Linked DNA regions of Mus musculus: regions 1, 2, 3, 5, 6 and 7 are each reported to be linked to region 4. Evidence: microRNA targets listed by miRTarBase, many of them from high-throughput screens and not tested one by one. Region 4 holds a microRNA gene; each other region holds the end of a gene's coding sequence.

Region 1 (4,258 bases), not on the chromosome of region 4:
CATAAATTGCTAAAAGATAGAAAAACATTTGAAATAATTTATAATCAAAGCAAATCACTGATACTTTTTAATTTTCTTTTCCAGGATGGAACATTTGTAGGAAATGTGTAGGGTTTATTTTGTTGTTGTTGTTGTTGTTTGTTTTTTTTACTTTGTAGAAAAAATATTTCTGAAAATTTCTCAAGAATAAATATTTAGGTAGTGGGCGTGTGGGTAATGATCATAAAGCTCTTATATCCTTTCTATGTGGTTAACAATTTTATTTTGAAACTAAAATATAAAACTTTTAGAAACTATGAAGAGATCCAGCAATCACTAATAAAATAAAGTTCTCATATGTTGTTCTTTTGAAGGTGGTCTGGACAATGTGGAATATTACGATATCAAGTTAAATGAATGGAAGATGGTGTCACCGATGCCATGGAGGGGTGTCACGGTGAAGTGTGCAGCAGTTGGCTCTGTCATCTATGTCCTGGCAGGTTTTCAGGGTGTAGGCAGATTGGGGCATATCCTTGAGTATAATACTGAAACAGATAAGTGGATCGCCAACTCAAAAGTCCGGGCTTTCCCAGTCACAAGTTGTCTAATTTGTGTTGTTGATACTTGTGGAGCAAATGAAGAGACCCTTGAAACATGAATGGTGAATGGACTTCCACTCATCTGAAACTTAGAGATATGGCCACCAGTGGTTTATTCCAAGAGTTCGGTTATGAAGTTCTGATCTGGTATTTTGATAAAGTAAGATTCCAATAAGATAACAGTTTATATTATCTGGATCTCCTTACTTAATTCAAAGATCATATTTTATTTGGCCATCCAAGAACCTATCAGCCAGAAAACGTGAAAAGTTACAAGCACTTCTTGAAAACGTGAATTGCAAATATATAACTGATTGTGGCAGAGTGGGGCATGCTCATCAGAGAAAGAGCCCCAGCTTAGCTCTAGATTCTATTTTCCTAATTGTGTAAGTGCTGTGTAGTTAGGGCTTTTTGTTTCTGTTTGGTCAAGAACTAAGTAATCGTATGAATTATAGTCGGAGATGGTAAACTCTGATAGAGTAACTGTAATAGTGTTATGTATTTTGCTTGTCTTCATTATTTCATTTAGTGCCAAATTATTCCATTTTAAAGTAAGCAAAAATGGCTTAAACATACACACTTTCTCACAAAACTTCTCAGATTTTTGGGACTTAACTGTACCCAGTTACTCATGAAATAATATATTCAGTCCAATTAAATGAAATATTATACATTTTTGTATAAAATATTAAGCTTAGCACCCATCATTAATTCATATGGTTTTACTCAGCAGTGTAAAAAGCACTCTATGTCCTCATTCTCTATGCGAGAGCCAATCAGTAGGAACGATTGACCAACAGAAGAAAAGCTGTTGGAAGAAATTTCTAGATTACTAGAAAAGCACTGATAATTGTAGCCCAGTAGCATATGGATTTTAAAAAATACAGTTTTCTTTTCTCCTAGCAGAACATGTTAGAGGTAACTGAGTTTTCTCTAAAAGTTTTGTAATAATTGGCATTAAGTATATCATTATTCATTGCTTTTATGTGGACAACAAATTACCAAACGGCCTATTAATTTTTCTCAGTAATGTTTTGCCCTTTGACTATGTATGAAATGTGCCATGTTAAACTGTCAATCAATGTTTTTATCTGATATTAAATATTTTTAACTTAAATAGATTTGCTTTGTTTATTCATTCTACGTGTGTTCATTAATATTTCTTAAATTTGTGAAAGTTTCCATTTAAAATTTTTCTCTGAATGGAAGTTAGAACAGACTCTAAAATGTTTAAATTAAAAGTGAAGTTGAAAAGTGACAGGATTTATCTGTCAAGTTCTTATGTATAGACAGCTTTATTGAGATGTAATTCATAAGCATACAGTTCACCCATTTAAACTGTACTAATGTAGTGGCTTTTAGTATGTCTATATGCGGGGCTGGTGAGATGGCTCAGTAGTTATGAGCACTGACTGCTCTTCCAAAGGTCCTGAGTTCAATTCCCAGCAACCACATGGTGGCTCATAACCATCCGTAACAAGACCTGACGCCCTCTTCTGGAGTGTCTGAAGACAACTACAGTGTACTTACATATAATAAATAAATCTTTTTTAAAAAGTATGTTTATATGCACTGTGTACAGTCATCATTGTATTTTTCAAGTGTTTTCATAACTCCTCCGAAAGAAGCCCTGTACTTACTGTAGTCACTCCTATTCCCATGTGCTAGCTTGCTACACTGCTACAAACTACTGCTTGCTTAATGGATTAAACCAACCAATATATTTTCACTGTTTAGGAGGCCAGATGTCTCAAATCTGGCTTTTGGAGGATTGGGCAAAACCGCCACACACCCCATTCCCACCCCTGCTGCTGGTTGCCAGTAGTCCTTGACATTTACTTCTTAGTTTATACCTAGAGCTGCACTGCAGTCTTACACCTTCATCTTCTCATGGTCATTTCTTTCTCTTGTGTAACTATTTTCACTTAGTTCTTTTGTAAATAGCATTTATTTGAACCATTCTTTTTTTTAACTTACATATGAATGAATATATACCATCTGTATGCCTGGTGCCCACAGAAGTCAGAAAATGGGGTCAGATCTCCCGAATCTGGTTGTGAACCACCACGTGGGTTCTAGAAACTGAACCCAGGTACTTAGAAGAACAGCTAGTGCCCTTAACCTTGGAGCCATCCCCCGCTGGCCTGGAGTTAAGATACCCACCCTCTGCTTTCTAAATGCTGTGACTAAAAGTATGCACCACCACATCAGAAGGATTCTAGTACTTTGTCTTAAACCACTTACATCTGCAAAGATCCTGTTTTCAAGTAGAAATGCATTCTGGAGTTCTGGATAGATAGGAATTTTGTGAGGAACACTATTTAACCCAGTACACTCTTACAAACTCCAGCCTTAGACAACCTCCACCTCTAGACTGTAAAATGATCTTTTATTCACTTGATGTAATTGTCATCTCAGGCTCACTGCCTCTGTCTGCTAACCTAGGTGAGGTCCTGGAAGCTTCCAGCCTCCATACAATCTTATCTAGGCCTAGAATGTTTTCATCTTTTGAGACTTACTGCTGAACAAGCTCACCCTTTCTAGCTCTTTCTATACTCTGGCTGGTTCAACTTAGCTGTTCTGGCTCAAACTGATTCAATCTGGCTTCTCAGTCTCTGACTGTTGTAAATATTTTTATGTAAGATGTTGAAATTTGCACTATTTTAAAATGTGGCTATTTGAGCTGGGCAGTGGTGGCACACGCCTTTAATCCCAGCACTTGGGAGGCAGAGGCAGGCGGATTTCTGAGTTCGAGGCCAGCCTGGTCTACAGAGTGAGTTCCAGGACAGCTTAGGGCTACACAGAGAAACCCTGTCTCGAAAAAACGAAAAAAAAAAATGTGGCTATTTGAAGCTGGAGAGGTGGCACTGTATCTTGCAGAAGGACCTGGGTGTGGTCCTTTGCATCCACTCGGAGGCTCACGATCATCTACAACTCTAGTTTAGGGGGATTCAGTGCCCTCTTTCTAGCTACCTCAAGTACCAGGCACACAATGAAGCACATGCATACATGCAGGAAAACATGAGAAAAATTGTTAACATAGCTAAATTTTCTGATGACAAAATACTCATTTATTACACTGTAATCACACTGATAGAGCAGTTACCCCTGTAGAATAGGCAGCACTGTTAAAATATTTTGACTATATTAGCTGTTCTTTTTAGGCTGCTGATTAACTAGAACACATAACATTTTATAAAGCTTTCTATAAAGTTCCTTTACTCCTAATAACCTGTATCATGTTCCTAATAAGAACACGTCTTCCCCCAAACCAGAACTATCATTCACAATTCTAAAGGATAATGGGTAAAAGTAAACTATTCAAAGTATATTACTTCATATACAAATTGCTTTGTATTCAAATTTCTTTGTATATAAAGTACATTTCATTACTTTTTCAAAAAGTTCCTTTCCTATAATGTACTCTGCTTTCATTTCAGTAGATACTGGGTTTGTCAGTGTTCTGTCCTTTGAAGTGCTTTATTTTGATGATACATGGGTTTTACTTTTGAGAATCACAATTTGAGTATGAATGTTTAGTAGACAAAACTTGTTCCATATTATAACAGTAACTGTGGCTCTGTGGTCTAGTTTTTAAAACTTGTCATTATAGTGTCATGAAAATGTTTGAGTCATGAGGCATTTTAATACACCAATATCAAAATGTGCCATTTAATAAA
Region 2 (4,258 bases), not on the chromosome of region 4:
TTTGGAGGCAGGAGCCTAAGGACAGAAGAAAGCATTGGATTCTAAATGTAGTTAGAGGTGGTTGTGAGGTGTCATGCGGGTACTGGGACATGAACCCAGATCCTCTGCAAGAGCCGTAAGTGCTCTTAACCACCAAGTCATCGCTCGGGCCTCTGGTTTTATTTTCAAAAGAAGTGAATTCATTTATACTCTGGACACTGTTAGGATTCAGCTCGTCCAAATTTTCATTGACCTTTCCCATAAAGAATATATGGTAGAGACTGACACCAACCAGCTAAAACTTGATCACCTGTTATAATAACAAGGTTACATAATGATTCTGTGTAGTCGGAAGTGGGCTAGCACTACAAACTAGGCCCTTGAGGGCTGGAGAGATGGCTCATTGACTGCTCTTCCAGAGGTCCCGAGTTCAATTCCCAGCAACCACATAGTGGCTCACAACAATCTGTAATTGTATCTGATGCCCTCTTTTTGTGTATCTGAAGATAGCAACAGTGTACTCATATAGATAAATAAATCTTAAAAAAAAAAAACCAAAAAACTAGGCCCTTACGTCTGTCAGAATCCTCGGACCTTCATAAAGTTGTGTCCCAGATCTCCCAGGTCCAAGCTTGAGGTAACAAACATTTGCCTGGCTTACACTGTTTAATCAGAGGAATTTTTTGTGTTTATCTTCCTACTAAATTGCTCAGTGATCATGGATATCACCAAATGATTTAATTGAATTTTACTTTTATTTTTCATTTTAGAGGAAATCTTTAAAACAATGAAGACAAGAGGTCTGCAAGGGACCACAGCACTTTGCAGGCAAGCAGGCCAAGAAGCCCTGTCAGTCCTCAGGTTCAGCAAGTCCTAGTGTCCTGAAAGCCACAGAAGTAAACAAGAGCTGCCGGCAGCTGAACAATCGCTCAGTAGGTTTCAGACTGATGCCATTGCCTGGCCAAGAAATTTTATTAGAAATCTGTCATTTAAAAAAAAAAAAAAAAGTGGAGCCAGGTGGTGGTGGCACACACCTCTAATTCCAGCACTCTGGAGACAGAGGCGGAGAATCCCTGAATTCAAGGCCAGCCGAAATGCAGAGTGAGTTCCAGGACAGTCAGGGCTGCACAGAGAAACCCTGTCTCAAAAACCTAAAACCAACCAAACCAAAGTGAAAAGAAAAGGCAAGAAACCCGTGAGGGCTGAATGGATAGATGGCTCAGAGGCTGAGACACTGACCGCTAGTACAAAGGATTGGGGCTCAGTTCTCAGCACCCACATGGTAGGGTAGTTCACAAGGGATCCTGCCCTATTCTGACCTGTACCTTTGGAGGTCAGAATGACATGCATACATACTGCAGGCAAAATATCCATACACAAAAACAAAATAAACCTAACAAGAAGAAAAGAAAAAGATAGAAAGCTGGGTCATTTTGTTTTCAGAGAATCAACATATGAGTTTTTCTGTGCAAGTGCAAGTAAATATGTATTATATGTATACCATATTTTATATATTTATATATGAAGGCACGTTTGATTTAGCCTTAGCTATAATATAGCAAAGCAATTTAATTACCCTAAATGTCCACCAGAAAGGACACTGGTTAAAATCTCAGCCTAGGGCTGGAGAGATGGCTCAATGGTTAAGAGCACTGACTGCTCTTCCAGAGGTCCTGAGTTCAATTCCCAGCAACCACATGGTGGCTCACAGCTATCTGTAATGAGAGCCAATGCCCTCTTTTGGTGTGTCTGAAGACAGCTACAGTGTGCTCATATACAATAAATAAACCTTTAAAGAATAAATAAAGTAAAATAAAATCTCATTGAATCCATTCCACTGAACATGTAGCCATGAAACAAGGCACTGTGTAGATCCTGCACCCGAGGCTTTTTGGTGACCAGGACAACTGAGTGCTAAGAGGCTGGAGCTGAATTTCATCCCATACACGCTATTTTGAAAAGCCAGCCAAAGCAGTGTATCGCTGTGTGTATATAACAAAGATTGGGGGGGGGGGGGAATAAAGGGGAATAAACTACAGGAATAAAAGAACTTCAGCCTTTGTGTAGCGTCTGTTTTACCTGGTGGTAATATTGGACTGTCCATGGACTATCACAGTCCGCATGGTAAGAACTTAACTGCAGACAGTGTAAAGGTGAGCTTTCACTCTGTGAACAGCATAACGCCACTTGCTGATGCTCCCAGGGGTTCATCAGGAAGGCCCCTTTCCCTCAGTTACTTATGAAGGCCCACCTCAGGCTAGTGATGTCATCTAAAAGTCCAGCCTCCTATGGAGGGAAGCTTAGATGATCATTTGCAAGGATCGTGACCACCTTCCTCCTCTATCACTTTTAGGAGTGGCTACTCGTGCATTGCCTACCCCCCCAATGGATAATGATACTGTACCCAGCACTACCTTGACTCAGAGTTAATACTATATACACAGACATAATTTTTTAAAGATGTGGGGGTGAATACATGCCACAGTGGGCCAGTACCGCAGGAGCCCAGAAGAAGGTGTCAGATGCTCTAGAACTGGAGTTAGAGAAGGTTGTGAGAACACAACAGAGCGCCATAAAGCAGACTCAGGGCCTCTCAGAGCAGGAGTGCTGTTAACCAAGGAGCTCCCTCTCCAGCTCTCTCTCTCTATAATTTCAAAATTAAGGCATGAAGTTGCAGAGGAGAAGAGAGGAAGGTGATGGGGGAACGTGATCAAGACACTGCGTACATGTATGTAATTTTCGAATAATAAAATTGATAAGAATTCCAATATAGAGTTCATGATAGAGCTAACCAGGGTCAGGATAACTTGGTGATCAATATTCTATATTGAGATCTGCCAAGATACAGTGCCAGGCCAAAGACTGTCACTTAAAACAAGAACAGTTGTGATATTAGCAGGGCCTTGCTCCAGAATCCAAAAGGCCTGCAACTGCAGATTACCATAGGGCCTGCCAGATGTCCGGTATGGAACCCATCTCTGCCATCACAACCTCCAACACCAACCCCTGGCTCTGCTAGCCACATGGCCAGAGTGCCAGAACAGCTTACACGGCAGCCCGGGTGTGGGTATGGACGTAGTAGGTTGTAGGTGAGGCTGAGGGATTCAGGAACATCCGTTTCTAACTTCTAGTCTTGCTTCTAGGTTCTATGGAAATGCTGCCAGTGTGCCAGAGTTGGGGACTGGCCGATTAGGTGAAACCCTGTTGGCTCTCACAAGCAGCATTAAGGGGAAACTATACCACGAAACTGTCAAGAGACATACAGGTCCGCAAATTTTCCCTTGCCTGCAACCTACATTAGTCAGGTACAATTTCAATGCTGGCCAGCAAAATCAGGCTCCTGAAGAGCAGGAGTTATTATACTACAGCAATTAGGATGAACAATGGCCTCACCTCTGTCAGTCTGTCTTTGTCCCAAACCCTGTGGTGGGAAGGACAACAGTGTGGGCTCAGCTAGATGCATACCGACTCTATAGTGTTATAGATAGGAACTCTTGAGAAACCCGAGTCTTTCCTTGGCATGCCTTCTGTTTACCAGACTGCTGTGCAGAGAAACAGCATCTCTGTCTTCCAGCTCATGCCGAGAAAGGTGCGATGGGACATGCTGGAGCGACACATACGAAAATGACGCAGTTAAGCCCATTTACTCTGTATGCTATCTCAGTGGGACTAAGTTGTTTCTTAGTAACCTACTGAATCTGGGTTTCACAGACATAAATTACAGGATGCCTTGCTATTACTCGAAGGAGTCCTTAAAGTTCACACAGAAGCTAAACCAAAAGTACCAGCGACAGATGAACACCCTTCCTGAATAAGACCTTTTGAAAGGAATATTTGCAAAATGGAAAGACGGGTCTCTCTATATAAAGATCCTGGAGGATTCTATCGCAGATATTTCTTTTACCTCTAGTTTGAAACAGTATAAAGAGCAGTTGGATTATGAGACTGTAAGGTAAGAATTTGGGGAGAGTAGAAGAGCTGTCTGAGAGGAACACTTTATAAAGTGTTGTGGTGGCTACACTTTGTAGTCAACTAGGCTCCATCTGGAATGAAGTCAACTCCAAGTGCATGTGTGCATGTGAGGGGTTTGTCTTAGTTAAACCATTTGAAGTGAGAAGACCCATCTTTAATGTGGATCTGAGATGGGACGATCCGCCTCTAACCTGGACCACACCTTCTGCTGGCTGCCTATATATAGGACATAGGAGGAAGCTTCAGCTCTTTGCTCTTACTGGGAAGTCTATCCCTTCACAGACATTAGAGACTACTTTAGGGTTCT
Region 3 (4,212 bases), not on the chromosome of region 4:
GGGAGGTGATAGGACTGACTGAGTGGGGAGGTGATAGGACTGACTGAGTGGGGAGGTGATAGGACTGACTGAGTGGGGAGATGATTGGACTGACTGAGTGGGGAGATGATTGGACTGACTGAGTGGGGAGGTGATAGGACTGACTGAGTGGGGAGGTGATGGGACTGACTGAGTGGGGAGGTGATAGGACTGACTGAGTGGGGAGATGATAGGACTGACTGAGTGGGGAGATGATGGGACTGACTGAGTGGGGAGATGATAGGACTGACTGAGTGGGGAGATGATAGGACTGACTGAGTGGGGTCCCAGTGTGAAGGGAGAGTAGAGGAAGGAGGAACATTCAGACTTACCACTTTCTTGGGGGCGAAGGTTCATCACTGCCTCAGCGGGTGCCAAGGACTACACAGCGTCTGTGCTTAACTTCTTCCTGTTTGCTGTAGCTTAGCTACTCATTAGTATTTTCTTAAGAACTAAAAATTGTGTGACTTGGTGTGACTTGGCTGGTAGTTGGCAGAGTTGGCTGCAGATGCCAGAGACCGGGCTGACCATTTAGAACCAGTCTGCTTTTCAGTGCCTCTCACACTTCTTTATTTGTCTCCACAGTCGTCACTGCGGCCGTCTTCTTTGCCATAAATGCTCAACCAAGGAGATCCCTATTATAAAGTTTGACCTGAACAAGCCTGTGCGGGTTTGCAACATTTGCTTTGATGTACTGACTCTGGGTGGAGTCTCTTAGTGAGGCCCCCAGGAGGACCCAGGCCTGCATCCCTGGCACCTCCCCAGCAGCTGCTCTGCTCACCGGCCTGCCTCCTACCCAGAGCAAGAGCTGGCAGTTGTCTTCCTGCGGCAGAAGACCATGGCGTGATCCCTGATTGTTACAAATGATTCTGTATGACTGTCAGTGTGTCAGACTGTGGTCTATTGCACTAGATGTCTCACTGGTTGGACCAGGCCAGTTTAACCTGCGTGACAAATGTGATAGGAATTGGCTAGCAGCACACAAGGACACTTGGAGACAATGTTCCCTTCCAGTAACGTAGCGTCCATCTCAGAGAATTCACAAAGTCTCCCTGCCTGGGCTGACTCAGAACAGAGCCCTCAGAGCAGAGAGCGGCTGCTGGATGAGCGCTGGTCACTCTAGGGCGGTGGCTACCCTAAGAGGCTCTGGCCTCTCATGCACAGTGTTTTCATAAAGAGAATAGGAACCTCTGCCCTCAAGTCTTTTCTTTCTTTAAGCTAAGCTGTATTTTTAGTGAGCTGCCCTTTTAAAAAGGTGAAATCTTTCTAACAGGGTTCAAAGATGAGAGCTGAAAAATTGTGGCCTTAACAACTGAAAGCTTTACCAATGTTGCTGCTGCTGGGCGTCAGAATGCCTGTGGCAGCTTGACACCCAGCAGCTGTCTCATCTCTCGTCTTGCTGCGTCCTGTCTTTGGAGTCCTCGGTCGCTGCCACTTGAGTGGTGGAAGAAATGCACTTTGACTGTGCTGCACTTTTCTAGCTGTGTCATTGGTGAATCCAATTCAAAAACCCATGTTCAAGAATGCCATCACATGCTCTTCCATCAGTGGTTCTGATAGCCAGCTTGGACTGGACCTCAGCACACACTAATCTAAAAGGGAAAACTGCCAAGAAGGAAGAAATTCATACTGATAAGAAAGGAGATAGCTGTGACTTTGATCCAGGTTCTCTCTCCCTGACACATCCTTCCTGCTAAAACCTTGCCTTGCATGCTGAGTGCTAGTGGCACCAGTTCTGGGTGGCGCTGTGCCTCATCAGAGCTGAACAGCCCAAGGCCCCGGCCAGCTATGAGCAGCCTGTTTTAGAGCTCTGTCTGAAATGATGAGCGAGGCTACGAAGCATAGGTCTTTGGTTCCTGCTGCTGCCGCCTGTTCTACCCCTGGGATGCGGGGCCTCTTTCTTCTTAAAGTTTGGCCAGTGTTTTGGGTTGTTTCTGTTTGGGAATTTTAATTTTTTCATTTTATTATATTGCACACTGAAAGAGAAACTTACACCACTGGGTTTTCTGTTTGTTTTTAAGAAACAAAACCACAATTGCTCTGAGACTCTGAGATGAACAGTATCTGGTCATAGTCAGAGCTTAACTGTCAATCACTCGCACTGATTTTTTTGAGACATTTGATAACCCTACGATACTTGCGTTAATAGAGTATGGCTGTATGAATAAAAGGGACTTCTTTTGGCATCACTTTCTTCCTTGGATAGTGGTATGCTCTCTGTTGCTGTAGAGTTAGACATCTTACTGCCTAAATATGTATAAAATGTGCTGAGAAACCAGTGTGCTACTTTCTAAAAATATTTCTGTGATTTATATGTATGCTTTTTATGTTAACATTAGCTTGTACACAGTGTTTAAAAGGAAGAGTTACTTGGAGGAGTGCCATTGTCCCCCAGCCTGTGACTTACTTCATATATAATCTTTATGGAAACATTTAATCAGTCTTGGCCAACAACTATAGGAGCATGTAGTCAGTTTCCAGGTTTTATTGCCTAAAAAGGGCCACGAAGACCTAGAGTTAGGTTGTTACCGTGGTTCTTTAGTGGGAAAGGTAGGAATGGTATGGTTATGAACCAGGGTGGAAAGGGCACATAGGGAAGCAGGATGACGCTGATCATTGTGTCCTTGCCCTACCACACCAGTTTCAGTAACAACCTTGCCTATAACTGTACTTACAATTTGCAGATGATGCCTAAAGCATATGTAGGTTCAAGCTTCTGTTCCTTCAGAGGTCATTGTAGTCATCCCCGTGGCTGACGGGGCTGTGTGACTTGAGCATTGGTAGCCATGCTGTAGATGTGGCTCAGGCTTTCTTCCACAGCCGCAATCCCCCAGACCATGCCATGCTCACTGTGCTGCCCTCCTGCTGTACACTGCCCTGGCCAGGACCAGACTTACTGTGTGTCTCTCCTGTGCTCTCTCCATGCTGACCAGATTTCACCATGAAATTGCTTACCTGTTCTTGTTCGGTCTTATCACTACCTTAAGAACTAGCAGCAAAACTTCATTTATTCATTCAAAAAGTTGTTGGTTGTGAATGAGCCAATCAGGAAGAATCAAGTTTACTGAAACATAATTGCTGCATCAGTTAACACTGCTATACTCACCTAGCTTTTTACCTGCCTCTTGTTCATCATGACTGCTGTACAGTGTATCATTAAGGTTTTAAAGATAGAGGTACAGACCATGTGCTTACACTAGTTTGCTATGATCTTCTAACACAGCAATGTCCCACAAGCTTAAGTGCCTACACTGAGGACTCCCTTGTTTCCAGTTGTCTTTTCATTGGTGTCTCACTCAGTGATGTGTTAGAACACGAGTTTCGGGCCTATTCCACCCCAGTAGCCAATTCAGTCCAGTCTGAATATTAGACTGCTCAGTTCATCTGCCATATTCTCTCCAAGGAGTGGGGTCCACATGATGTTTCTGTCCTCTACCTCAGAACCATGAGTTGTTTCTGACTACCCATCAGCTTCCTCCCTCTCCTTGAGTGGGTCTTTCATGAAGCTGGGTGTGTGGAATCTCACCACCCCGCCCAATTTGCGCCCATCCCCCATACTGAACCGTTCCTGTACTAGTCTTGTTTGCAGGCAAGGGGTGGAAGACAGGCCCCCATCTAGGATTTCCTTACCTGGAGAAGAGAAAAAGTGGCTGAACTGCCAAATGCTTAGGAGAGGAAGCAACAGCAGCATGTAAATGTCTCCCTCACAGATGCTGGCTTCCCTCAGGATCAGCCCCTAGAGCCACCTGAAGCTCCAGAGCTCCCCTGCCAGCCCAGCAGAGGAAGCAGCTCAGCAAAGGCCTCTGAGCTATGCTCACTATACAGAACTGATATAGTGAAAAACCAGCTAACTAAATATAAAATTCCCAGATGTCATAGATGCCTTAAAGACTTTTCTCGGGAGGATCATTGCCTCTTGTGTGGAATAAATAATGTATTAACTCTTACAACCGACAACATTGGTTTTCCACAGTGAGGGAGTCTGGGGACTGCTGGACTTACTGACTTGCCAGTTTGGCAGCTGTGTGGAACTGGGCGTTCCATGATATCTTATGGTACCAAGGACAAGGTGGCAGCAGCTGGGCCATAACTGCAGGCACGTGTTTGTATAGACCACTTTGGCTCTCAAACTGCTCTGGTGCTGCTCAGTGTGGGATGACCGCATCAGCTGGGACCATGGCTAAGGCTTAGCAG
Region 4 (4,000 bases):
TTTAGTCCACAATAGAATTGCTCATATACTCTTTTGTTGTTGTTTATTTCCAAGAATGTAATTTAATTACAGCATTTCTCCCTTCCCTTTCCTCCCACCTAACCCACCCTGCTCTCTATTAAGTTCACGCTCTTACCCTCTTGCTTGGCTGCTGGCAGTTTTCTTTTTCCATATTTGCTAGTGTACTTTGCTGACTCTCCTTAGCATGCCCCTGGGTTAGGGTTTCCTGGACCACAATTTTACTACCTTGACTTAGACCGTTTCACTGAAAGTTGTACAAAATTTCTTTGTATCACCACCCTTTCTCCCTTTCTTCTGTCATTGTGACTCACTTTGGAACTCCCTGGAAGAGTTTCTGCAAATGTCTATTACACATTTCATCATGCAAGCCATGTGCTGGACACTGAGCATCATCAAGAGGGTAGGGAAGCTGAGCATAGAAGATTCTTTTGCTCCATTTAGGGGGTCACTAAGCCAGCAGGTCTCAGAACTCAGATTCAGAGCTGGGCCTGTCTGACTCCCAAGTTCTTGCTTGTTACCATGACTCTATATTGCTCTCTCAAACACTTCCATTCTCTATTCACTAGAATCTTCGTTCCCCAAACACAGCCTAAATTGGTTTTTTATTATATTATTTAATATCCTGTATTACTCCCTACTGTTTTTCCAGCTGCACAATCAATTTTTGAATTCATTCTCTCTCCATGGAGACTCTTGCTCTACTATTTCCCAATGAAGAACTAAAAGACATGAGGTTGTTTTTTTTCCCCTTTTCTCTTTTCCTATTCCTAACACTTAAAGGAACAGAATAGTTTCTAAGAGAATATTTGTATAAGCTCTACCTGTTAGTGTTGTCAATGTTGAAAACTCTATTAAATTCCACTTGCACTGTTGAGTCCCCACCCACTGGAACAACAGAGAGCCATCTTGGTTTTTGCAGCGATGGAACTCAGGGCCTTGTGCATGTTAAGTGTTTGCTCCGACACAGAGCTGAATCACCAGCTAGCCTCAAAGACAGTTTTCACGCTATCTGGTATTTATCCTGAATATCGAATTATATTCAGACGTCTACTTTGGTCTTTCCTTAGGTAGTAACTTTGTCTACTGAAAGCCTAACCTATGCCAATATCTGGGCACACCCATTTCTTTGGCTACAATGTTTGAAGAAGCAATACAGTCAGTATTTAATCATGGATGGTAGGAAGCTTGGAGGCAGATTCTCCCTTTGAGCTGCAATAATAATTCACTGTCAAATTCGTGCATTTTGCTGTCTGTGTGAGTGACTGTAAGTCATCAGAATTTCCAAGATTAGCCTTACCTTTCGTCTCTGCCTTTGAAGGCTGAGGCCATTTCTCAGATGTCAGTTTGTCCGAGCTTCTCTCCTTGTCCGCTATCACTGTACCGTCATTTTTCAGTCTCAGACAGAGATACCTTCTCTGAATTCATAGAAGCTGCTCTCCGTTCCGAAGGGATTCAGAAGTGATAAATCCAGCAACTATCTCAGTACCTCATTAGTGTCTGCAGGCCAGCATCGGAAACTGCAATAAGCAATATTATTCAAATGAGGTTCGTTTCAGACATGACAGAAAATTTACATTCTGTCATCTTTTTTTTTTTAACATTCACAATAAAAATAGTGTTAGTGGTTGCTATCGGACAAAGGTGGTGATTTGGTCTCTTGTTCTGTTTTGAGGATTCTTTCACAGACTGGCACTGAACATATGGTCCTACTGTCTCAGCCTGAGAAAGGTTAAACATAGATGACCTAATTATTGAAAGACTGACTACAAGGAAGAATTGACGCTATTGAGTGTTAATTTCACAGGAACTTTCCAAAACTAATCATATGAAGAAAGCTTTTGAATGTTTCATCCTGATGTAACCATGCAGATTTTACATTACTTTAGGCAATAAAATAGGCTCTCTGCAAATCTAGCATTGTTTGCCTTCACCTAGGTGAGGGACAGCGTGATGATGAGAGTTGCTCTTTCGTGCTGTCTTCGGGAATATGTTTCTAAATCTCTTTTCCATGATCAATGAACTGATAAGATGAGAATATGCTCTCAACAACTGTGGAAAGTCTGGGATTTCTCCTCAGTTACAAGCTAATACGTCGGTCAACTGCCATTTTACGGAAGCCAGTTAAAGGCATGAGTTAAGGGCAGAACCATTGATTTCTCACAGCAATGGCGGTAACCAGAGGATCAGCATTTGTGTCTAATTCCCTAGCCTCAGTTGCCATGGGGCAAGGCAGAGAGGGCTGGATAACACCTGCAAATGCAATGCGGTGCTTTACTAGAGAGCATTTTCAGCCTAGAGAACTCAAATGTATCCTTAGCACTACAAGAATAAAACCAAGCAAGAGCGTGATCTCTTGGTCTAATGGCTAGATTCTCAACATTGAACCTGGGTAACTTATTTCCCATCACTGCTAGTGCTCACTTCTCTGAGTGGAGACACTGTAGCATCCAAGCTACACAGACACTACATAAAGATACTTGGAAGAGATAGTTTGCAGCAAACAGTGGTCAATGTTTCCATTTATTGCTACCTTTGGATGATGACAAGACCCTCAAAAGTTCTTGATGCCTTTGGAGGATCAAACCAAGGAGATAGAAACTAAAGAACAACTAGTTCAACTTTGTCTGGTTAGCCATAAGGCAGCTTATGTGCTGCCTGTTGGAGCATAGCCAAAGGTACACACAAACACCTAAACTAGTGACAGTGTTAGCCATTCAGAGAATACAAAACCTTTCTAAAGGAGCACTTGATATTGTTGCTTCTCATTAGCAGTAAAACTCTATTGCTTTGATCTTCCAGCTCTCTCTCTCTCTCTCTCCCTCTCTCTCTCTCTCTCTCTCTCTCTCTCTCTCTCTCTCTCTCTCTCCCTCTCTCTCTCTCTCTCTCTGCAGTTATCTTTTCCTATCCTGTTTTTTGAGGATACAGTGTTATAAGTTTTCTATTGCTACACAAGCTGGGGAAGTTATTTCTTTTATTGCACTTAAAAGGTGGCAGATGTGATAACCACAGGGTAGTTAGCTGACACTTATCCATGTCTCCTGGTAGTGACAGGGAGAACGGATTTATTCTCAAAGGATATTCAGTAAGGGTGGATAATTCAAGGCCCTTTGCCCAAGAGAGCAGAAGTTAAGAAAGATACCCCCATGGCCCAACATTATAAGGACCCATGTGCTCCCAGGGTGACAATGAATGAGTACAAACTGCCTATTTCAAATGCTGGCTGCTCAGGGAGTCAGAGGCTGGTGAAAGCAGCCTTTACATTATGAAAGCAGAATAGCCTCTGGATATTTATTCATTACAAAAGCCGAAAAGCCTCAGAATTCACAGTGTGGTTCCTCTGCTATGCCTTTTCCTTTGCCTGGAGTTAAAGTCTGTCTTGGCAAATGGAGTGCCAGTCATTCACTAATGATGCCCCCCCACCCCATCCCCTACACAAGGTACCTTGGCCCATTAACCTCTTAGGTCTGTGCGTTTTTTGCTATCTTGCTCAGGTATTCAGGCCAAAGTTCTTTCTACCTTAACTCTCTTCTCCAAAAGGCAAGCCTCATCCCCCCACCCCCACCCTCAAAATTGGAAAACTGAACAATTCTGGCCATCCTGGAAGCTGGTTTTAAACAGGTAGGACAGTAGATGAGTCATTTCCTTAAGGGAGTGAGCAATTGCAATGCTTCAGTTAAAAAAAAAAAAAAAAAAAAAAAGCTACAGAGCCAACAGGAGGTGAGTCTGCAGCAGAATCATCCAGTGTGCTGCGGCCTTCTGGAGACCAAGTGCAACCTCGTCCTTCTCAGCAGCCCAGCCTGGCTGAGTGCTGAGCAGTGCTGTGGTCCTTCCTGTTTTCTGTTCTTCTGTGTTGTGTGTGTGTGTGTGTTGTGGGGGTAGCTATCAATGGGGTAAAACAAGTGAGTTTTGTTTCTGTGAAAGTACAGATTTCATCATATCCTTTCAACAATGTCCCTTTGGGATGTGCATGATTCCGCAA
Region 5 (4,209 bases), not on the chromosome of region 4:
ATGGAGCTAGGTTCCTGTTGTCCTTTCATTAGGGCCTTGGAGAAAAGCATTGGATTAGCCTGGCTCTCAACAGTGGATATTTGGTTGAAAAACTGAGGGCAGTCAGAGAAGTGTTAGCTTAGCCTCTGAAGGGCAGTTCATATCCAAGAACCAATGTGGGCTTTGTGTGTTCTTTGTTGTTTCTTGGGTTTTTATGTCATCCTTGCACGGGACCCAGGCTTATCTTCACTGTATCATTCCAATGTTAGCAGATGTGTTGCCAAATGTAAATGTGTTTTGCCCACTTGTATATCTGTGCACCACACGTGTGCCTGATGCCTTTGGAGGCCAGAAGAGGGCACTGGATCCCTGGGAAATGGGATTACCAGTGGTTGTGAGCCTCCATATGGGTGCTATGAGTCAAACTTGGGTCCTCTGGAAGAGCAGCCAGTGCTCTTTAACTGCTGAGCCATCTCAGCAGTCCCACAACTTGTTCTCTTATGCTAATAGGATGCACTGCTTATGAGACCCAGAGGAAAGATTCTTCTCTTTCCTTAATAATTTTTTCTGGCCTAGAAAGAAAAAAATCATGAAAAGAGAGAAGACAATCACTAAAAATAACTCTCAAGGGCTGGAGAGATGGCTCAGCGGTTAAGAGCACTGGCTGCTCTTCCAGAGGTCCAGAGTTCAATTCCCAGCAACCACATGGTGGCTCACAACCATCTGTAATGGGATTCAATGCCCTCTTCTGGTGTGTCTGAAGACAGTGACAGCGTACTCATATACATAAAATAAATAAATAAAACAAAAAACAAAAAACCTCTCAAAACTATACCAAAGCCTGATAGTAGAATTTTAGAACAAAAATACTCAAAATTACAATAAAGAATCAAAAGTACTCTTCCAATTTCACCAACTGCTGCAGACTGCCATTAATAAAACTAACCAGTACATGCAGAATGCTGCTCTGGGAAAGTTTTTCTATATGTTCTAATTAGGGAGAGTTTTAAGAGATAATTTAACTAAGCATGTTGCAAAAATAGGGTTAAAGTTGGAAGGCATGCTAAATCTTATAACTACTTCCAGAAAACACAAGTTAGTTCTCTTGAAGGAACAAGTCTGGGCCCAATTACTCATAATGGGCTGCCTGGCATAATAGGACCTGCTGCACTGATTTGGGTCTGGCATACGCCAACATTCTCTTGATGACCTCCCTTTACCTTTTTATACCCACAGTAATGAAATTATAATGATTGCTGAATGAAATGAGTTTATAGTGAGGTCTCATTAAACTTCCTGTACTATCTGCTACACAGTTGGGAGCAAACGGTCTCCTTGGACCTGCTCCTGAAAGCTGGAGGTAGGCTGTAGTAAACTCACAAAAAGAAACATATCTATCATGCTGCAGTCAATTATCTAGCACTTGGCCCACTGAGAGCCTTGCTGGATGCTGCCCTGTATTCTAAGACTCATGCTATAACCAATGAATTTTCCAGAAAGGGCCATTATAAAGTCTCGGGAAAGTTTATGTTAATCTACAACCCTAGTCAGTTTTTATATTAACTACCCTTCACATCCATTTTATGTGCAAAGTCATAAAAAAATTAGAGAAAAGGAACTGTATGTCATGAAGTCCACTAAGAAGATTAATGGATAATAATAATCAGTTGTATACTTACAGAATCTCAAGATGCAACTGTAACCAGGATTGTACTAGTGTAACAGTTCTACCCACTACCACTAAGTTATGAAGCTCATGTTATACACAACTTACATGACTAGGTCTCAAAACTTAAGAAATGTCATTACTATCTTCAAAACTTAATAGACAGATTGTCTAATCACTTAAGGGATATCTGAGGGGAGTCTAATGGCTGTAGATTATAAGATACACTACAATCCAACATTCTTTAATGCCTTTAAATTTTCACAAGTTGCTAATTGCTACTTGTGGTGGTTTGAATGAGAATTCCCCATACTGGCTCATGAATTTGAAGACTTGGTCCCTAGATGGTGGTACTGTCTGGGAAGATGTATGTGTCTTTCCTAAAGGAAACATGTCACTTGGTGGGAATGAGGCTGGGGGATGGGGGCGAAGTGCTTAATGCCTCTCCCTGCTTGTAGGTTGCCGTTCTATGCTCGTGGTAAAGGATGTGAGTTTTCAGCGTTCTTGCTTCTAGCCACCACACCAGGATGGTCTATCTCTGGAACCAAAAGCCCAAATAAACCTTTCCTTAAGTTGCCTTGGTCATGCTGTTTCTTTTTTAAATCTTTTTTTTTTTTTTTTAGATTTATTTATTTATTATATGTAAGTACACTGTAGCTGTCTTCAGACACTCCAGAAGAGGGCGCCAGATCTTGTTAGGGATGGTTGTGAGCCACCATGTGGTTGCTGGGATTTGAACTCTGGACCTTCAGAAGAGCAGTCGGGTGCTCTTACCCACTGAGCCATCTCACCAGCCCGGTCATGTTATTTCTTCACAGTAAAGCAAGAAAAGTAATTAAAAGTATATTGCGTAATGCAGCTCAGCTCTAACAAGGAGCCAGCACAACTCTTAAGAGGGCAAGGAAAAGGAACAACTCCTAAAACCTTAAGCAATGCAGCAATGTAGTATTAGTGTTCTATCTTACCACATAGGTTACATGCCAGCGCCTATGGCTTTGGTAGAATGCACAATATCAACCTGTAGACTGACAGAGGAAAAGCACAACTACTGTGGCTCACTTCCTGCTCCCCAGCCCCCCCCAACACACATCCCCTTCTTATAGTACTTGTATATAGTATAGTTTAGCATAGTACAGTACTTATCTGACTTGTGGACTGATGCTGCCTATCTAAGCTGCTTGGGGGTTTAGAACAGTGTCCGGCTGACAGGAACAAACATTATTCATTATAGAAGGTACAAAATTAAGGCATTAAATGTCTGGTTTATTAGCACTTATAAAGCTAGATAAATATAAAACATTAGCAAAAAAGTGATCAAAAGCATAATATCTAAGTTGTACTTTTTCTCACTGTTAAAGTTCAGTGTTCAAACTAAAAGCACGAGTCTTTAAACTGCAGTGTTCATTTTAGACTGTTTGCCCATAGCCAACAGGTCAACACTACATTCCTGAACTATACTCAGCTGTGGATTTTTACCATGACCTGTGTGAAACTTTTTCCAAAATATAATCTAGGTCACAGACCCAGGTTTGGGAATGTTTTTCGTTTTTGTTTTTTTTACTTAGGCTAAAGGTTGTTGTGACTCAATAAATAATAGGTCCTCAGACCTAGGAGTTGTGCTGGTTCCTTGTTAGAGCTGAGACTGGAAAACTGATAGAACCCCAGAAAACTCTTCACATGATGCTGAGGCCCCTAGGATGTATGCCACTCTTTTGATGCTTTATTTTTATACTTACTGCTGGTCTGTATTTTAATCATCATTTTTATGGTCTCTGCTCAATGGTGTGGTAAGGAAGAAAGGTGTGTGTGTTGGGAGTGTGGCAATACAACAAATTCACCCTTAGGTCCTAAATATATCAAGTCCATTCTTTATTGCCCTGAACGTAAGGAAGAAAGGTCTAATGCCACTGTGTGGGGGTTGAAATAAGTACCAAAGGAAAAGCAGTTCCCTCCACCTCCAATAAGCAGGAGCTGCTGCTCTTCAGGAAGGAGGGCGCTGCTGTGGTTGTGCAGCATTAATGGCCATGGCACAGACGCTGTGTCAATCTGATATTCAGAGCTCAACCCTGTAGTCAAACAGATAACAGTCACTCCAGGAACTGAGGAGGAATGAATCCAGACCCCTCCAACCAGAAGCAGCTTTCCATTAAACACATGAGCCGTGTGAGAGTACCTTGGGGTAATGGAGGGCTGGATATCTATTGATTCCCAGAGGAATCCAGAGGACACTGGTTTGAGAAAGAGTACAGAGCTCAACAGTTCCTCAGAAGCCCCAAGACCTCCAGCGATAAGTGCTCCCCCTTGCCAACTGCAGGCGCTATGGGAATGCCGACCTTCGGGTGATGCGCCTTGTACTGGGATTCTGACCCAAGCCATTGTCTCTACATGTAGAAAACGACAGTCACTTAGTACAGGTTCAGCCACACTTCGGCCACCATACACAAATAAGTATCTTTGATTCTGATAGTATACTTCCGTTGTTGAATGCCGCCAACATGACAACACTGAACCTTCTTCCAAGGCAGCCTTCGTTACTGTTACATTTTGGCCCTCAGAGCAATTAT
Region 6 (4,258 bases), not on the chromosome of region 4:
TTTATCAGAGCAGACTGACTGCCGTGTTAGTCAGGGTTCTCTAGCATAACAGAACTTACAGAATGCGTTCCTCTCTATGTATAGAAAGGGGATTTATTGGAATGACTTACACAGGCTGTGATCCAGCTAAGCCAACAGTGGCTGCTTATGAATGGATGGTACGAGAAACCAGTAATTGTTTAGTCCATGAGGCTGGATGTCTCAGCTGGTCTTCAGTAGATGCTGGAATCCCAAAGAAGTAAGCCCTAATGGCACTGAAGGAATGGACTTATTAGCAAGGTGTATTCCTCAGGGTCACAGAACTTATGGAATATCTCTTATACTGAGGAAATTTATTATGATGACTTACAGTCCGTAGTCTTAACTCCCCAACAATGGTCAACTGTGAATGGAGAGTCCAAGAATCTAGTAGTTGCTCAGTCCCACGAGGCTAGTTGTTTCAGCTGGTCTTCTGTAGAAGTAGAGTCCAACAGATGTGCTGGCAAGTAAGTGCAAGCAGAAGAAGAGGAGCGGCTCTTCTTCCAATGTCCTCATGAAGGTCTCCAGTAGAAGGTGTGGCCCAGATTAAAGGATCCACCACTCCTGGATCCGGGACTTGTTTTGTCCCAGGCTGCCAGAGATCTCCTTGCCCTTAGTCTCCTGGGATTAAAGGCATGTACTACCTTGCCTGGGCCTAAGCTTTTCGTGGCCATTATGTCTCAAAATCTCTGTACCAAGATCCAGGTTAGAAACTTGTGTCTTCCAGCCTCAAGATCTGGATCACAGGTGAGCCCTCCATTTCTGAATGGTAGTTCATCCCAGATATTGTCAAATTGACAACCAGGAACAGCCACTACACAAGGTGAAAGCAAGCAGGCAAAGAGGGAAAGTTTCCTTCTTCCAGCAGAAGGTGTGGCCCAGAGTAAAGGCCCGCCTCAAAAGATCTGGATTGGGCCGGAGAGATGGCTCAGTGGATAAGAGCACTGGCTGCTCTTCCAGAGGTCCTGAGTTCAATTCCCAGCAACCACATGGTGGCTCACAACCATCCGTAATGAGATTTGATGCCCTCTTCTGGTGTGTCTGAAGACAGCTTCAGTGTACTTACATATAATAAATAAATAAATCTTTAAAGAAAAAAAAAAAAGAAGTGGGTCTTCCTACTTCAAGTTGAGCAAAAATCCTCACAGGTATACCCCTCCATTTCTGAGTTTTAGTTAATTCCAGATGCAGTTGAGGTGACGACCAAGAATAGCCATCACGTGCCGTGCAGCTGTGCTGAGCTGTTCTGCTAAACTTAGAGTGGTCACTAAGATCACCCTCTATTGCAATCCTTTGTGGCCACCCACCGCCCGACTCTGTCCCCTTCCCCCTAGTGGCAGGCACACTTGCTGGACTTGACCTCAGACCAATCATGTTGGTTATGATTCAGTTGCTGTGAAAAGACGCCACGACCAAGGCAACTCTTACGAAAGCAAGCATTTAATGGGATTGCTTACAGTTTCAGAGGGCTAGTCCATGGCCATCATGGTAGGAAGCAGAACATGGTGGAGCTGGAGGGGTACTTGCGAGCTTCACATCCTGACCCACAGGCAGCAGGCAGTCAGAGACCCTGCCTGGGCCTCTCATGGGTTTTTGAAACCTCAAAGCTAATCCCTTGTGATAGTTCCTCCAACAAGGCCACACCTCCCAACCCTTCTAAAACAGTTCCACTCCCTGATGACTAAGCATTCAGGCCATTCTCATTCAGACCACTACAGCTCCTCTCTTCTCGACAGATCCCCACCCCCAGCAGTATGCACCTCTCTTCCTTCTCCATCCAGGATGGGAAACACTCCAGACTCAGCCTCAGACAACCTGGGCTTCCGCTGCGCCTCCAGTGCAGGCCGACCGAAGGAGGACCTGTGAGCAGCCAGACCGAGATCTCCGAAGCACCCTCTCAGCACTGTACCTCCGTGACCATGTTCCAGAGGCAGCTGGCTACCAAGCTCATGCGTCTGAGGGTGGCCTTTTGAGCCCCTCCCCTCTGACAGACACAAAGAACACTCGGACTGCAAGAAGGGACTGCAGTAGCCTGGAAGATGAGGACCTGGATGACCAAGGCTGGGAGCTGGGCTGTCTCTTAAGTGCAGTATTAAGGACAAAGGAACCAAACCCTCCAGTGTCCAAAAGATGACATTTTTTAAACTCTCTCCCTTTTTGCTTTCTCCCTGGCTGGTTCAGCTTTCACTTCTGGGAAATTCTGCAGAAGGAAAATGCTTCCTTTGTGAGGTGTGCCAAAGCCTTGCTGCCAGAACCTAGCCTCGCTGGCCTCTGAAACGAGATACTCAATATGTGGCAAGGCTGGTCTCGAACTCTCGATCCTCCTACCTCAGCTTCCTGGGTCCTGCTGGGATTACACACCACGCCCACTATTTAAAAGCCCCAGTAAAGCAAATGATTTATGAAGTGAAGATGTGCATTGTGGGAGAACCAAAGTCAGTGCCCCTCTAGGAAGACAAATGCCAGAACCTTCTCTGAGAGTTAGCTAATCATGTAGGGCCTTCTGTGTATCCTGCAGACATGTCCCTGAAGAAGAACTGGATCTTATGAGGTCAATAAATCCTTTTTTTTTTTTAAGATTTATTTATTTATTATATGTAAGTACACTGTAGCTGTCTTCAGACACACCAGAAGAGGGCATCAGATCTCGTTACGGATGGTTGTGAGCCACCATGTGGTTGCTGGGACTTGAACACTGGACCTTTGGAAGAGCAGTCGGGTACTCTTACCCACTGAGCCATCACACCAGCCCGAGGTCAATAAATTCTTATGTATATCAGGAAGCACAATATAATTGTTGTTTGAGATAGGGTTTCATGTAGCCCAGGCTAGCCTCAAGCTCCTTGTGTAGCCACAAATGACCTTGAACTCCTGCTTTCACTTCCTCAAATATCCATAACTTTAGCTAGACAGTTATGAGCGCCTGTTCTTGCTGAGGAGGGGTTCAATTCCTACCACCCACAAGGTGGGCTCAGCTATCTATACAACTCCAGTTTCAGGGTTTCTGATGCCTTCTTGTGACCTCTACAGGTACTGCATGCATGTGGGTTACATAAAATGCATGCAGCTAAAACATACATAAAATGCATAAATCTTAAAAAAAAAAACAAGAAAACTATAGACATCAACAAAGGTGCACAGTAGAGAAGCCAGAAGGCTTATAGCTCCCAGAATACATGTGCTCTATGCCCTTCCATTTCTGCCTATCACGGTCTCAGCTGCGTTGGATTTATTATTTATTTATTTATTATCTATTTTAGCTGTACCAGAGGTTGAATTTGGAGACCTTACACTCACCACAGGGTTACATTCCCAGCCTCATTTTTATTTTGAAATAAGCATCACTAGACTTCCCGGGCTGGGCTAGAACCCGTGATCCTACTGTCTCGGGGCAACAGGCACATGCCACAGCACATCCAGCTCCAGCTGTAATTACTGCTGTTTACTGGGAACACCCTGTGCTTCTAGAGGCAAGCCTTTGAGAGCACAGAGTAGGGCCACCTATTCCTTTGCAGAAGGCTACTTGGGGCATCCTCTTCTCACAAGTCCCTCTGTCTGCTTTCCCCTGGGCCCCCGCTGCCCTTCAGAAGTCCTCCTCCTCAGCCAAGGAGAGGAGCACAGCCTTGGGCGTGTTCTCGAAGAGGGCGGCTCTGTTCTGCTGTTGCCCTTTCTTCACCCAGTGGCCGTAGATACGGAAAGCATAGGCGTCAATGAGCCTCCGCAGCGGCCGAAGGGCGTAGGGGTCTCGGATGACGATCTCCCTGGTTACCGGCTTCACCCGACGGTACTGGTAGTAGATCTTTACTGATGCCAGCACAGTTAGACAGATCACCTGCAGGGGGCAGCACTTAGAACCCTCAGCCCGCAGCAAAGCTTGTCGGGAAACCTTAGCTGGCTTTGGGGGTGCCCTTCATGATGTCCCCTATTCCCAGGCTACAAGCATCTGTAGGGATTTAGGTAACAGGGTCGGTTAGCTGACATCCCCTGCAACCAGAAATTGAATTGGAACAGTGGGTACAAGGCATTCCCTCATAGCTTAAAGCTCTGAGAGCCTGGTGCCAGCAGGAGCCAACAGCAGCCTCCCCCAAGAGCCTTAGGGAAGGTTAAATTTCAGTACCTTGAACTTCCCTCGGGGGCTGAAGTGCCGTACTTCTTCTACTACGTACTCCTGAAAGAAAGGGTGTGCCAAGGCCTCTTCCGCCGAGCAGCGGTCCTGAGGTTGCACCACCAAGAATCGAGA
Region 7 (4,258 bases), not on the chromosome of region 4:
CTGACAACTGTAAACAGTTGGTTTAACTAAAATGTTGGCTTTTCTTCCCACAGTGAAGATTTCCTTTAAACATTCAATCATGTTCGGCTACACCTCACTCAGACCTTTTGATATCAGACTTCTCCATGAAAGCACATCTCTGGATTCAGCTGAAACCCATCGTGTTTCCTGGGGAAAAAAGAGCTTCTCCAGGGGAAAATACTACTGGGAGGTGGATTTGAAGGACTATAGGCGGTGGACTGTAGGAGTCTGTAAGGATCCCTGGTTAAGGGGGAGAAGCTATGTGGCGACACCCACAGATCTATTTCTTGAGTGTTTGAGAAAGGACGATCATTACATTCTCATCACCCGCATAGGAGGTGAACACTATATAGAGAAGCCAGTTGGCCAAGTTGGCGTGTTCCTTGATTGTGAGGGTGGATATGTAAGTTTCGTGGATGTAGCCAAGAGTTCCCTCATACTCAGCTACTCTCCTGGAACTTTCCATTGTGCTGTCAGGCCTTTCTTCTCTGCTGTCTACACATAATCATAGGAATCCAGTATGCTAGTGCTTTTCTAGTACTTCTATGATAATGTGTCCCCTCTTTATTGTGATGGTTTGTGTATGCTTGGCCAGGGGAGTGGCACTATTAGAATGTGTGGCCCGGTTGGAGTTGGTGAGTCACTGTGGGTGTGAGCTTTAAGACTCTCATCTTAGCTGTGTGGAAGTCAGTCTTCCACTAGCAGCGTTCAGATGAAGATGTAGAACTCTCATCTGGGTCTTTACCATGCCTACCTAGATATTGCCATGATCCCACTTTGATAATGGATTGAACCTCTAAACCTGAAGGCCAGCTCTAATTAAATGTTGTCCTTTATAAGACTTGCCTTGGTCATGGTGTCTGTTAATAGCAGTAAAACCCTAACTAAGACATGTTAAAATGATATTAAGGGATGGAGAGATGGCTCAGAGGTTAAGAGCACTGACTCTTGGTTAAGGGACTGTTCTTCTGAAGGTCCTGTGTTCAAATCCCCACAACCACATGGTGGCTCACACCCATCTGTAATGAGATCTGATGTCCTCTTCTGGTGTGTCTGAAGACAGCTACAGTGTACTTACATATAATAAATAAATAAATTTAAAAAATATAAAATGATATTAAATGTAAAAGATGGGTGACTGCTTCTTATCTGTGGTCCACCTGTTCCTCCTAGAACATTTACTTTTTTAAAAATATTTTATTTATTATGTGTAAGTACATTGCAGCTGTCTTTAGACACCAGAAGAGGGCGTCATATCTCACTATGGATGGTTGTGAGTCACCATGTGGTTGCTGGGATTTGAACTCAGGACCTCTGGAAGAGCAGTCAGTGTGCCCTTACCTGCTGAGCCATCTCACCAGGCCAAACATTTACTTTCAAAGTAGTTATTGCTTTTTGTTTTTGCATATTTGTGAGAATTACTAATTAGAATCTTGGATCTAGTGTAGACCTAGAACTCAGGATGCAGAGTTCCCAGAGTTCCAGCACCATTTAAATATTCTGTATCTGTGTGATTCTAAGTTAATGACGTCAGGCAGAGGCACAGAGATCTACTGTAGGCAGATTTGTTGATCAATAAAAGCTTGAATCCCTATTTGATCTAAACAAATAATTATTTACCAACTGGGATAGAACAACAACAACAAACAGGCTCTCATCGTTCAGAGAGGGATTTTTTTTTCCTGAAAAAAAGGAAAGTGAGTTTCCCCCTCTTTCACGTCCTTTATTTTAAACCTGTTTTATGTTGGGGACACACTTGAAAAAACTTTAATTGTCTCCAACATAAAACAGCTTTAAATATTGAATATTCTTCCAGTCTCAGAGAGCACACAAATGTCTTTTGACATTCAACAGGTTCTCTCTTCTGGAAACCCCTCCTTGGTCATTTGCAAGAGGGTCGTGTGTGGGGCTGGTGAGATGGCCCAGCGGTTAAGAGCACCGACTGCTCTTCCAAAGGTCATGAGTTCAAATCCCAGCAACCACATGGTGGCTCACAACCATCCGTAAAAAAAATTCTGATGCCCTCTTCTTCAGTATCTGAAGACAGCTACAGTGTACACACATATAATAAATAAATCTTAAAAAAAGAGGGTCGTGTGCACCTGAGAACACTGAGAGAAGTAGATTGTAATGCCCATCCAAGGCCATTTTCTTTCATGATTCTAGACTTTCAGAAATGAAGCCTCAAATTTTTTTGGTTAGCCAGTCTAGTTCCCTCTGCTTTCTCATGTTGCTTCGAAAGGCATAAAGTTATACTTCTTAATATCCCAACATAAGATTTGACTCCATTGACCATTTGACTTCTGTGACACCTAGGCTCTGACCAGAATATTACACCAAGGACTGTGCAGAGACATGAGAACTTAGGTTGCTCCTTTAGGAAGCATATTGCAAATATTTTAGAAAAGACTAAGAACACAGTAGACATAAGAAATGCCATGCGACTACTACTTAGCACCAGGCATGCAGTTCAATAAGATCACAAAACATAGAAGCATTAAGCTCAAAGGGGATGAGGTGTTTTGTTTTTTCTCATTTTTTTATTAGAAAAAGAGAAAGCAAATGTTGGGGTTGCATTTATATCATGTACAGGATTCTGGAGAATTTCTAAATCCCCCAATTTCTGGAAAGTTTACATTCCAGTCATAAAACCTCACTTGATGCATTGACAATATAACAGCTCATGTAACCCTCAGGAAACCTTGTGGAAGAGGCAGATACATCCTAAGAGCCAGAGCACCAGAACATCTGCTTCTAAATAGGCACACAAGGAAGAGGGATTTGAAGGAGGGCCCATGGGTGCATATACAATATATGAAATTGCCTTAAATTAATAAATGAGAGCTAAAAAGCAAATCAGTTTAGCAGTCAGGGCAGCTCTGTGGCTTATGTCCAGGCCCAAGCTCCTCAAATGTACTTTTGTGGGCAAATGGCCTTCACCTTGGCCACATTTAGAGCATATAGAGTATAAATCCTTTCCTATTTAACTATTGTGGTTCTTTTGAACTCATATCTAATAAGGTAAAACACAAAGCTCATGTATATACATTTTAAAATTTATTCTTATAATACTGTCAGATCATAGCTTCTCCTTTCATTTCTCCCAGTCCAAGCCTGGGTAAGGCAACCCAGTAGGAGGAAATGGGTCTCAAGAGCAGACAAGAGCCAGATATCTACTTCACTGTTACTAGTCCTACAAAAACTCCAAGCTAAAAACCATAACATGCCGGGCAGTGGTGCCTTTAATCCCAGCACTTGGGAGGCAAAGGCAGGCAGATTTCTGAGTCTATACAGTTGAGTTCCAGGACAGCCAGGGCTATACAGAGAAACCCTGTCTCAAAAAACCAACCAACCAAAAACCATAACATGCAGATATAACTTAAGCACATACCAATGTTCCAGGGTTGCTGCTTCAGTCTCTGTGAACCCCCAGGACCCTTATTTAGTTGCTTCTGTTTGCTGTATTATCCTAGTGTCTCTGACCCCACTGACTCTTATAATTCTTCCTCCCCCTTCTTCCATGGGGTTCCTAGATCTCTGAGGGGAGGGACCTAATGGAGTGCTCCAATTTGGGCTCTCTCTACATCTCATGCATGGCTGTCAGTCTTTACATTGGTTCTAATCAGCTTCTAGGGAAAGTGTCTCTGATGACTATTGAACTAGGCCTCAATCTTTGAGTATAGCAGAATACCACTAGGGATCATTTCATTGACTTATTTTTCCTACCCTAGGTCCTTGGCTATCCAGACTCCAGTTCTTGATGATCCAGGCAGTGTTGGGCATGGGCTTCCTCTCTTGTGGGCTTCGAATTAGACCACTCATTAGTTGGCCACATTAGTTCTCCTTCATTGCCCCAGCACATCTTTCTGGCAGGATAGGTTGTAGGTCTAAGGGCATTAGCTGTGTTCATGTTGCAACCCTACCACTGTAAGTCACTTGGTTATAGAATATGGCTGGTTCAGGCTCTGTATCCTCCATTACTGGGAGTGGTCTCTGGGGTCACCTTTGTAGATTCCAGGGATTTTACTTTTTACTAGATTTTTTTTTTTTTTTTTTTTTTTTTTTTGGTTTTTCAAGACATGGTTTCTGTGTAGCCCTGGCTGTCCTGGAACTCATTCTGTAGACCAGGCTGGCCTCGAACTCAGAAATCTGCCTGCCTCTGCCTACCGAGTGCTGGGATTAAAGGCGTGTTCCACTACGCTCAGCTCCATTACTAGATTTCTACATCAGCTCCAGA

What was found. Region 4 holds the annotated microRNA mmu-miR-717 (CUCAGACAGAGAUACCUUCUCU, at 1,417-1,438, shown strand). A microRNA usually pairs through its seed, bases 2 to 8, with sites in the 3' UTR of a target mRNA and lowers its output. Matches are read on the target gene's strand: a 7mer-m8 pairs with bases 2 to 8, a 7mer-A1 pairs with bases 2 to 7 and ends in A, and an 8mer does both.
Region 1: the mRNA of Klhl7 is a reported target of mmu-miR-717. Seed matches in the 3' UTR shown: 8mer at 2,081-2,088.
Region 2: miRTarBase lists N6amt1 as a target of mmu-miR-717. Seed matches in the 3' UTR shown: 8mer at 1,726-1,733.
Region 3: miRTarBase lists Ankfy1 as a target of mmu-miR-717. Seed matches in the 3' UTR shown: 8mer at 1,830-1,837 and 7mer-A1 at 3,376-3,382.
Region 5: the mRNA of Lcmt2 is a reported target of mmu-miR-717. Seed matches in the 3' UTR shown: 8mer at 2,308-2,315.
Region 6: the mRNA of Phkg1 is a reported target of mmu-miR-717. Seed matches in the 3' UTR shown: 8mer at 2,636-2,643.
Region 7: miRTarBase lists Trim43b as a target of mmu-miR-717. Seed matches in the 3' UTR shown: 8mer at 1,072-1,079.

Annotation. Positions count from the first base shown.
Region 1 is chr5:24,159,094-24,163,351 of GRCm38, forward strand. It overlaps Klhl7 (kelch-like 7), which reads left to right. Exons shown (of 11, transcript NM_026448.3): 11 at 354-2,138. The coding sequence ends at 637. Among named protein-coding and RNA genes, the nearest start is that of Nupl2, 3.7 kb to the right of the region's middle.
Region 2 is chr16:87,366,716-87,370,973 of GRCm38, forward strand. N6amt1 (N-6 adenine-specific DNA methyltransferase 1 (putative)) reads left to right here. Exons shown (of 6, transcript NM_026366.2): 6 at 750-1,934. The coding sequence ends at 856. Among named protein-coding and RNA genes, the nearest start is that of N6amt1, 15 kb to the left of the region's middle.
Region 3 is chr11:72,766,910-72,771,121 of GRCm38, forward strand. Ankfy1 (ankyrin repeat and FYVE domain containing 1) reads left to right here. Exons shown (of 25, transcript NM_009671.5): 25 at 604-4,212. The coding sequence ends at 736. Gm46287 (a long non-coding RNA gene) reads left to right here. Exons shown (of 4, transcript XR_001780259.1): 4 at 206-597. Among named protein-coding and RNA genes, the nearest start is that of Gm46287, 4.1 kb to the left of the region's middle.
Region 4 is chrX:52,419,899-52,423,898 of GRCm38, reverse strand. Mir717 (microRNA 717) reads left to right here and starts at 1,384; the gene lies at 1,384-1,492. The region is part of intron 3 of Gpc3 (glypican 3); the gene reads left to right.
Region 5 is chr2:121,135,026-121,139,234 of GRCm38, forward strand. Lcmt2 (leucine carboxyl methyltransferase 2) reads right to left here. Exons shown (of 1, transcript NM_177846.3): 1 at 2,267-4,209. The coding sequence ends at 3,515. Gm23858 (a small nuclear RNA gene) reads right to left here and starts at 271; the gene lies at 166-271.
Region 6 is chr5:129,860,840-129,865,097 of GRCm38, forward strand. Phkg1 (phosphorylase kinase gamma 1) reads right to left here. Exons shown (of 10, transcript NM_011079.3): 9 at 4,136-4,258; 10 at 2,592-3,850. The coding sequence ends at 3,602. It overlaps Sumf2 (sulfatase modifying factor 2), which reads left to right. Exons shown (of 9, transcript NM_026445.2): 9 at 1,800-3,112. The coding sequence ends at 1,884. Among named protein-coding and RNA genes, the nearest start is that of Sumf2, 16 kb to the left of the region's middle.
Region 7 is chr9:89,081,512-89,085,769 of GRCm38, reverse strand. Trim43b (tripartite motif-containing 43B) reads left to right here. Exons shown (of 7, transcript NM_001170884.1): 7 at 54-1,146. The coding sequence ends at 526. Among named protein-coding and RNA genes, the nearest start is that of Gm40542, 3.8 kb to the left of the region's middle.